Arabidopsis thaliana: one gene and its partners. The protein of the gene in region 2 interacts with the protein of the main gene of each other region in a pairwise test. Each region holds a gene or a part of one and is shown on either strand. Other genes may lie near its edges.

What was found.
Region 1: the proteins of LSU1 (region 2) and FSD2 interact in a two-hybrid assay, tested with the Arabidopsis thaliana proteins (one large-scale study listed by BioGRID).
Region 3: the proteins of LSU1 (region 2) and AT4G12450 interact in a two-hybrid assay, tested with the Arabidopsis thaliana proteins (one large-scale study listed by BioGRID).

What each region holds. Positions count from the first base shown.
Region 1 is NC_003076.8:20,773,880-20,777,646, reverse strand, and holds the start of FSD2 (Fe superoxide dismutase 2), read left to right. Parts: upstream 1-1,907; 5' UTR 1,908-2,011; coding exon 2,012-2,081; intron 2,082-2,162; coding exon 2,163-2,200; exon of another isoform or gene 2,201-2,402; coding exon 2,403-2,480; intron 2,481-2,822; coding exon 2,823-3,011; intron 3,012-3,397; coding exon 3,398-3,569; intron 3,570-3,654; coding exon 3,655-3,767. Other genes in the region: AT5G51105 (ECA1 gametogenesis family protein (DUF1278)), read right to left, coding at 1-15. UniProt on the Arabidopsis thaliana protein: Destroys superoxide anion radicals which are normally produced within the cells and which are toxic to biological systems. Plays important role in chloroplast development, particularly in the maintenance of thylakoids membranes.
Region 2 is NC_003074.8:18,374,617-18,377,632, forward strand, and holds LSU1 (response to low sulfur 1), read right to left. Parts: upstream 1,325-3,016; 5' UTR 1,104-1,324; coding exon 819-1,103; 3' UTR 617-818; downstream 1-616.
Region 3 is NC_003075.7:7,385,146-7,388,587, forward strand, and holds AT4G12450 (zinc finger (C2H2 type) family protein), read right to left. Parts: upstream 1,787-3,442; 5' UTR 1,530-1,786; coding exon 696-1,529; 3' UTR 550-695; downstream 1-549.

The DNA of each region.
Region 1 (3,767 bases), on a different chromosome or scaffold from region 2:
ACTCTTGATCGACATGATGAATATTTGGGGGACTATGCAACAAGAGAAATAGATGACTTGAGTTTTGTTTGATGAGATAAAGTTATTGGCTATGAGATCCAATTTATACTGTAATTAGTTTGGCGAAACGTATTTTTAAAAGTTGCTTTCAAAATCAAATTTGTCGTTTTAATTTTGGAAGAAAATCAAAAATAGTCAAAACGTTTGATGCACATTGAATTTGATGCTGTCATATTTCTCATATGTAAAGAAATAAATCTTTCCTAACAATATGATAGGAAATAATACAAAGATGACAGAAGGGAAGCAGTAACAAATTTTAAGTCTCTTTCGTCTTTATTCATCTTGATATATATCATCTCCTAATTTTTTTTTTGAGATTTTATTTACATTCATAGCAAGAAAAAGAAAAAAATCTTTTCAATTTAGGAATTGTTTTTCTTCCAACTTTTTGGAATCCTCTATATAGTAAAAGATGTGGCAAGCCCATAATTGTTCTCATCATTTTTATTTTTCATTTATTGAATATAATATACTCATTGTCAAACACTATTAATTCCACTATCCTTATCCTTATCCTTATTATTTTTTAAACCAAACATATTTTAATATTAAATACACCATCCAAAAATAATATTTTCGGATTTCTAAATATTTAGCTTATAGAAAGATTTCTTATTTATCAAATAAATTAATTTAATCAAATTTAAATTTACTATTTCCCAAATTACTAAAAACTTAACTTTTAAAATTAAAACATTAAATTATATAGCCCATATTTTTATCCTATAAATTTCATGCAGTATACTATATAGTGTCTATCTATTCAACACAATCATAGTTTTTTCCTATAATTTGATTTAAAAAAAATCATTCTCCTCTATACATAAGAGAGTCTTTAGTGTTTAGGATATAATCCCACAATTTTTCTCAAGTATTTTTTTCTTTAATTCTACTATATATCATTATTACCAAACATTTTTAATTGCAAATACTATTTATCTTATTTTCTTAAAACTAATTTTTAAACACTCATAAAAGATTTTTAATATATAAATTTACCATTTTAATAAAAGTAAATAGTATAAAATTTACGGCAATAATTAGATAAAATTTGTTACCATTTAAATTTGAAGATATGTTTGACCCTATATGAATCTCACATATGTTCTCAAACATTTGGATTTTAGAATAAACTAGAAATGGTTTCATACGTTAAACAACTTTGTATTGGTTCTAGTTTCACTTATTTCCGTTGTCTCATCATATGCAATTGCAAGATTCAATACAAAGGTTACAGAAAGTGAAATCAACGTCATATGAACAAACAAAGATGTCAATGCATCATTTTGCTTTGAGTTCTTGAAATCATCCTCTCAAATTGCAACACTAGATGTCTGGTCTAGCCAAATTGAAATCATCATTTTGTTTTATATGGATTTTTGTTTAAAAACGAAATTAAAAATCGTAAAATTAAACCAAATAATTTATATTTTGCTTTCGATTTATGAATGAAATCAAACAACAGAAAATAGCAAGAAACAATTTTTTATTTTGATTTTCGATTTGACAAAAATTAAAACAATAAAAACTGAAGTCGTGTAAGATCTGACTCCTCCACCAAGATCTGACTCTAAGCACATTGTTTAAAAGCATCAAACCATATAATTTGTATTTAAACCACATATACAACATAATTAATCATATATATAAATCCACACTTTAATACCAAATTATAACTGAAATCATAAATATCATGTATTAATTTTTTTCATTCACTCAATGTCATTTAAACACACAATTATTATAATTTTAATCTTTTATTTTTGAACTACACTTATTTTTACAGGAACAAAAACAAATATAATTCAATTGAAATTAGTATTTTAACACTAACCAAAAAGGAAATAAATTTGACTATGAGATAAGAAGGCGGGCTTAGTTATATAATAGCAAGAAAGAATCTGTATATTTGTTGAATCAAAAATAATCAGTAACGCTTTGAGTGAAGATGATGAATGTTGCAGTGACAGCCACTCCCTCGTCTCTCTTGTACTCTCCTCTGCTTCTTCCTTCTCAAGGTCTCTCCTTTTTCTATCTTACTCTCTCGCTTACTATGAACACTTGGGGGGTTTTAAATGGGTTTAGTTGGTGAATTACAGGGCCAAACCGGCGAATGCAATGGAAAAGAAACGGAAAGGTTTGTTTTTGAAACTTCTCTTTTATCTCCTCCAAGTTTGAATTAGCTGATGAATTCTACAAGGAACTCTTTTTTGGGTTGTAACATGAACAATGAACCATGTAGGGAAAGTGTTTGATGAAATGCTTCAATGAAACTCTTACTTGTTTTGTTTTGAACTTGAATTCAAAAACACACTCTTTGGTGTGTTTTCATTTTGCAGAGACGGTTAGGGACAAAGGTGGCTGTTTCCGGTGTTATCACAGCTGGATTTGAGCTGAAGCCACCTCCATATCCTCTTGTATGTTTTCGTGAACTCGTTATCAATAGAGTTGGAAACGAGTAGATTAAAAAGACCCAGCTTTTAGGTTGAATTTTGGTTGATATATAACCTTATCATTGGATCAGATTTTGTTTATTTGGTTCTAATAGTACGATAGTGATATATATAAGGCTGTGAAGGTTGATGGTTACTCTAATATTCAAGCTATCTGTTTAAAGATGAATGTAGTAATAACAAATAGGATATTTTGTGAATCGTAGTACTTAATAAATCAAAGATATATTGAGATTGCTGCTTTGGAACCATATGCGTGATGTTGCTTACTCTGTGTTGGTCGTTGGGTGTGTTGATATATGGTAGGATGCTCTGGAACCGCATATGAGCCGGGAAACCTTGGATTATCACTGGGGCAAACATCACAAAACTTATGTAGAGAACCTGAACAAGCAAATCTTAGGCACGGATCTAGATGCATTATCCTTGGAAGAAGTTGTGCTTCTTTCATACAACAAAGGCAATATGCTTCCTGCTTTCAACAACGCTGCACAGGTAAATGCCATATTGCTTTCCACCAGTTTTTCTTAAGAAAAATAAAGTTTTCATGTAAAAGGTAGACTGAAAACCCCATAAGTACACTGTATTCGTGTAAGTGGCAATGTCAGTGTTAAAGACCTTCAGGTTATGTAGAAATATTGCCATAGATAGGTAGAGACATTAAAACGTAACAAGAAATCACTTAGTTACTTGCATTGACATGATACATGTAGTTTCTTGTGAACTGTGGATTGGACAAGAAATAACATCCAGGGTAAGTGGGCAAACCACCTGACGATTCATATCTTTAATCAGATTAGGACCATGGTCATAGTGGCAAGTTTTCGTAATGTGAGATGGGTTGATTGAATGTAAATTAAAGATGTATGAGGGGCTTGCAGGCTTGGAACCACGAGTTCTTCTGGGAGTCTATCCAACCTGGAGGTGGAGGAAAGCCAACTGGAGAGCTCCTCAGATTAATAGAAAGAGATTTTGGGTCTTTCGAAGAGTTTTTGGAAAGGTTCAAGTCGGCTGCAGCTTCGAATTTTGGTTCGGGTTGGACATGGCTTGCATGTGAGTGTTTTTATCTTTGTTCCCTTTTCAAATATGCAAAACCCCAAATTACTTACATACTTAAGCTTCTGGATCATTGATGCAGATAAGGCGAATAGACTTGACGTTGCAAATGCCGTTAATCCTCTCCCAAAGGAGGAAGACAAGAAACTTGTTATAGTGAAGACGCCCAATGCAGTAAATCCGCTCGTATGGGAT
Region 2 (3,016 bases):
ATTATGATCAAAACAGTTAATTAACAGCAAAACAAACAAAATCACGTCAAAATCGAATGTCAATATTCCTCTTAATTTGCCAGCACCACATATCTTCATACTATTTTAAATGATTTTTTTTTATATTAACAAAATAAATATATAATTAAATGAAATAGAAACAGAAAATGACCCTTGAACCAATGGAAAACTTACACAATTTCATGTTTCACGTCCCCTAAAGACTATTGTTATGGTTCCATAGAAAAATCATTGAACCATTCTCTCCTACGGTTTCCATTGACCACAAAAAAAAAATCCTGAAGTTGTGGAAAATTTCCATGAAACTCATGTACCCAAAAACCCTTTATTTTTTTCTACACTCAAGTTTCAATTAACTCTTCTACGATTCCTTTGAAAATTATGGTAATGTAGGATTTCATGGAATTTAAACTTCAAAGTTCTTCGATCCCCTTCGAGTCTCCAATACCTACTAGTTCCATAAAATTATTTTGATAGTTAAGATTGACATTAGATCTCACTCATATATTATTACTTCATTACTTAAACATGGTATCATTCCAAAATATTATTTGCTTCCATAAGAACTTTTGTAATTAAAAGTCAAGACAAAATATGCAACTAGTACCAGAAATACTAATTCATTAGAAATGGAGTTCAACAATTTGTATGATTATCAGAAATTCTAATTTATTCACTAGAAATGGATTCAAACATTTAATTTATGTTGAAAACATAACATATTACCATCGATCTATATACATGTATAGTGATTGTCACATACACAACTATACATAACTTATGAGAAATATCTTATTCTACGAGGAAGAGACGACAGAAGAAGAAGAGAGACGAGAGATTTGATCCATGAGGAAGAGCATGCGATCGTGATAGTCACGTGCCTGTTCTAAAGACTCGACCTCCAGCTCCGCCAGCTGCGAGCAGAGTTGCTCTTCCGCCTCCTCCGCCACAACCGTTCGCTGCCACAACTTAATCATTTCTGTCTTCATCTCCGCCACTTCTCTCGAGAGCTCTATGTTCCTCCTCCTTAGCTCATCCATCTCTTCCGCCGCCACCGTCACGCATCCTCCTCGGTTCGCCATTAAGATTCTTTGTGTAAAAGGATTTGATTGTGGTTCTAACTTTGTTTCTTGATTTGTTGAGTGTTAGGGTTTGATTATGTTTCTTTAATAGGCGCTTTGTGTAGCTTTTGCATGTCCAGGTTCAATGTATCTGCTTCTTGATTTTTATTTCTCCTCACTTTTGATTTCGGTCAATATTTTCTCCTTACTTGAAACTTAAACATACTCATGGCTTATGTATGCATAGACCACCCCAAAAGAGAAAATTTACTATTTTTTTCGAATGTTCAATTTTTTTTTTTCGTTTTTTTATCACAGTTTCGCTAGGTTCGATTTAAATATTTTTTATATGAAACTTAAACCAAATTAATTTCGAAATTTCCGGTTTATCCATGTTATTAACTAGTTTTAACTTTAAAATTAATAAACAAATTGCCGTCTATACAACTATAAATTGATAAATGGATAAATATATGTTAACGTGTAAATAGAATAGTAATTAATAATTCTAATGCCGTGGTTTACACAAATTCAATTTAATTATTTATAAATCTCTGGTCCGTCAAATTTGTAATAAAAATGTGTTGGTCTGATCTCTGATGTATGTATGTGGTATATATTGATTACATTATTGAGTTAGTAGGGCTTGAAATAGGTGACGTCTGAAGCCAATCACTATAGTGTTTCTCACTTTCTTGTGATATTGTGAGTTTGTGACAAGGATTTATTCTTTAGATTATTAACTAACAAGTTAATAATTTGGGAAAACGCTGCCGCTTAATATTGCGTTACTTATATTATGATTGAAGAACTATTATGGGATATTTCACGACATCATACATCTACAACCACTATAAAATAGAAAATTAGTGTACTATCACCAAAAATATATTTCTCCTGTTCCATGAAATTTGATGTTTTAGATTTTTTTTTGTTCCATAAAAATTGATTTCTTAGGTTAATATTATTATTATTTTTATTAATGACTAATAGAGAGAGGAAAGAAGTAGAAATTATATTATTAAATTAACAAAAAAATAATATAAATAACATAAAAGTTAATTTTCTTAATTTGGGTGAAAAACCCAAAACATCATTCTTTTAGGAACATAGAGAATATATAATAGACATTTACAACTTATACATTTGTTGATAACATGCAGTATGTTAGTTTGAATACATATTTTTCACAACAGTAATAATAACAGTTGTTAGAAGACTAAACTACATTGTAAGAATCGCTTTCTCTTGTAATGATACAATATAACATATAACATTTAAAATAAAATAAAAATCTGTAGGTTTTAAAATGTTAGCTACGTAGTCCATAACTTCAAAAAACCAATGGTTTTGAACTCATTCCATAGTGATGATTGCAAATACATATTATCTGGTTTACAAAAAAAAAAAAAAAGTGTTCCAATTATCTAGAAATGTTGGGCCTAATGCTTAAACAGTAAGCCCATATACTTAAACATCCGACTTGGCGCATTTGCTTCACCTTCTCTACCAAAAAAGCGCGTGAGATTCAGGTTCACTGTATACATTAAGAGCCTATTGTCTTGTCTCCTGTAAAACCAGAAGAAAACAAAAATTCAACAAAGGATAACAAGGACGTGGCTATTCTTCATTGGCTGCATTCACAAGAGTCGAATATTAATTAGTAATTTCACAGTATAGTACATTAAGATTAACGAGACCTATTGTCTCCTGTAATTGAGGCAACAAGATAAGGGTAAAACGAGAAAAACAAAAGAGAACAAAGACGTGGCTATTTATCATTGGTTGAATTCAATATTAATTTAATTAGTAATTTCACAGTGTTCTCAAATCGTGATCGTGTGTGTTTCTTCTACCTCTGAAACTCTTTTTGTTTATGTTGATCATCATCATCGTCATCTGCGTGTAAAACACACTCACGCCATCGTTGACGT
Region 3 (3,442 bases), on a different chromosome or scaffold from region 2:
CTTAACCAATCGTATATAGGTTGTCCAAAAAAAAAAATCTCATTAATATATGCACACACATAAATGTATATTTTTATATATTTGCATGTAATCTGCATGTGAGTTGTCTCTTTTGCAGTCAACGAATTAATTTTAAAATGTGCTGCATTTGTTATATATATCAAACAATTTTTCACGAAAATATTTCCCATAAAAATAGTAATTAGTGACGTTGAATCAAATTTGTTTCTTATTTAAATAAAGTATACACTTGTAAACATTTTATATAATGAAACAAAATTAAAACTCTAAAACATCATATATAATGAAACAGATGGAATATATTCATATACTTGCATTGAATAAGTGCACTTTATTTTTAGACTGGGAACTCTTTACCATAGCAAAAACTTTATCGTTTCAGTGGTTACAAATCACATACATAAATAAAATTAATGGTTGTAAAAACGGTATCACTAATTATCTCTTATCTAATTTGCTACCTATCAATGATTTTATTCAATATCGAATCCTGCCAAATTGTCTAAACCTTAAACATAAGTATATAGATTGGACCCTAAAAACAACCAAAAATATATTTTGAACGAAAAGTTAAATATAAATCTGAAAAATACGAAGCAGATACAACAAACCAAAAAATGGAACCAAAATATATAAATCAAAATTAGTATAAATTTTATAATAATTATTATTTTTTACAATCTGAAAAAGATTAAGAAACAAGGCAACACCGCGCGAGCATCAAAGACAATCAACTCACCAGCTCGACCCGCTACCGAATCCGACCCGAATTCACCTTTCTTCGCAACCCGACCCGCAATCACTCTACAAATCAACATCGCTCTCCTCCCTCCTCCGCCGCCAGTGCTCGCGTGCGCTTCTCCGCTACCGGAAAACGTACAAACCGCCGCTCCTTTCCCTCCGGGAAAACCCCACGCGCCGCCGTTTATCCCTCCCGGAATCGGACCCAACGGAAAAAACCTCATCATCTCATTCCCATCAGCGGAGCACCGCGCGTTTTCATCACACGCGCTGCCGTCAACTCTATCAGAATCAACTTTCGAACACGATCGCGATTTCACAGCTTCTCTATATTCCTCAAACCGGGTCACAGCTTTTGACCCGTTTTCAACTTTAAAAATCATTTCAACCCGACCCGGAAACTCATCGGAGCTCCAACTAGATTGGAATATAATCTCCACGACGTTTCTTGACGGATGACCATCAGGAAGATCGGTCAATACGGGCAATACAGATTCCGAGGAAGCTCGAGCTGATACACTTCGTCGGGTCGGGTGATGAGAATTGGAGTCTAATTCGGGTCGACGAGAAGAGCATAAACGTCTTAAACTCGGGTCCGGTTTTGGGTTTTTCTTAACGGTTCCGGGTTGTGTATTGACAACGTCTCTAACGTTTTTTCTGCAGCTGTAACTTGGCAATAAGAGTTTACCTTTGTTGGAGTGATGATGATAGACATCGTCGAATGCTTTTGATTTGCAATGTAAGGATTTGACCCACCCGATCGGCATATTTCGGGTTGTGTTTTGATTTGGAACCGGATCCGGGTTGTGTCTTTAGAAATTTGAAGTTTGTGATATGTTTAGAGATTTGTGGGGGCTTTGAAGTTTTTGGTGTATGTATGTAATGTACCCATGAAGTATGAACATTGTCCCGCCGTCTTAGAATGGACGTTTTATCGGTTGGTGTTTCTTTATGGTAGTAAATGACGATATTACCCCTTTTATTTTGGGTCCTGACCAATGTCAACGTGAATTTTCCAGCTTCTTGTCTGTAAAAACAAAAGAAACTAATTATGTATCATAACCACGTACAATGCTTTTACCTTGTTAATCATGATTGAATTAACACATGTCTCATTTTAGTTAACTTCTTGTAATGTTGAAGTTAGTTATAACATATCTTTTTCCTTGCCGATGAATTTCTTGATCTAGTTTTTCTTGTGTCAGCGAGAATATCGTTTGTGGTCTATTGATTATGACCATTGTTCTATCCAATGCATAGTTGGATGATGAATTCAGGACAAATAATGTTATTACTTGCGCCAAATTGCTTTTTAGCTTTTGTTTTCAAGCTCTTATACATATTTTGTGGATATATTTTATTTATCCCTTTTTAGCATTGTAAAATATTTTTGTATGTTTTGTCTTAAACTTTATGATCCTTGTATTCTTGGTTTTTTTGAACCTTGTGACTTGAATGATTGAAATGAAATATTTGTTCCATAATAATTATAAAAGAATATCAAATTTTAATAGTATGTGTTTTTAAATAGTAGCTTTCTTTGTATGATGTTGGAATGTCGGATTCACCAAAACGAACTACAGTTTATTTTTTGAATTATTATATGAACTAATTGCATACAATTTGTTGGTGAAACAAACTAAATAAATTTTAATATAAAAATATATAGAACTATGAGAAGGAAGAAAAAGGTAATGCGTCGCTATTAATTTTTTTTTATGCTTTAATAAGACAAAAATGTCACATTTGAAGCTGCAATATCATGAAGCGACAACTTTAATTTAATTTTGAGAAAAGATATGTATTTTCGTGGTATTTTTATATATAGTGGCTTCATGTTATTGCATCTAAAATATGTATAGTGTATGTATTGGATAATTTATATATAATATATAAATATATGGCTTAAGAAAATATATTCTGGGAAACATATATAGTGTATAAATATATGGATTAAAAAAATATACTCCTTCAAGAAAATATATTTATTTAGTGTATAATTATATAGCTTAAATATAGAGTTTGATTAGTATTATTTAGAGAAAATAGTAGAAAAGAGTGAGAGTAAACAAGTAGAAATAGAATATACAGTATCAAGAGAAAATAGCAAAATAGAGTATAATTTTTTTACTCTTATGGAAAGTAGAAGAAAATCTACTCTATTTTTTTAACATAAATGGAAGAAAATAGAAAATAAAAATGATTTTATTTATCATGAATGCTACAAATTAAACAAAATTGAGAATAGAAAAATTTCAACATTTTTATTTCACTCTAAAACCTTGATTAGAGATCTTTACAATTGCGTATTTCAAGAACAAAAAAAATGTTTGCATATTTTAGGTAGGATGATATCTCATAAACCGCACTTATTTATCTTTTTTTTTCTGAAAAAAACAACTCTTATTTATCGAACAACAAATTATCCATTGGTACAAATCGAATTATGCATTGAAAAAAGTAAAAAATTGATTTTTTCATTTCATTTAATTTGTGAGTAATATAGAAAAGAGTTTGATTACCACTAACTAGTATGTAGATGTCAGAAACCTCAATTAGAAATTTGTGGATGTTTCGATGTCTCTATGCCTTGTTAATCGAACAAGATCGAATTTGAAGAATAATGTATTAAGTTATGTATAATGTCGTTACAATCTGACCCTCCTTTACAATTTCATTT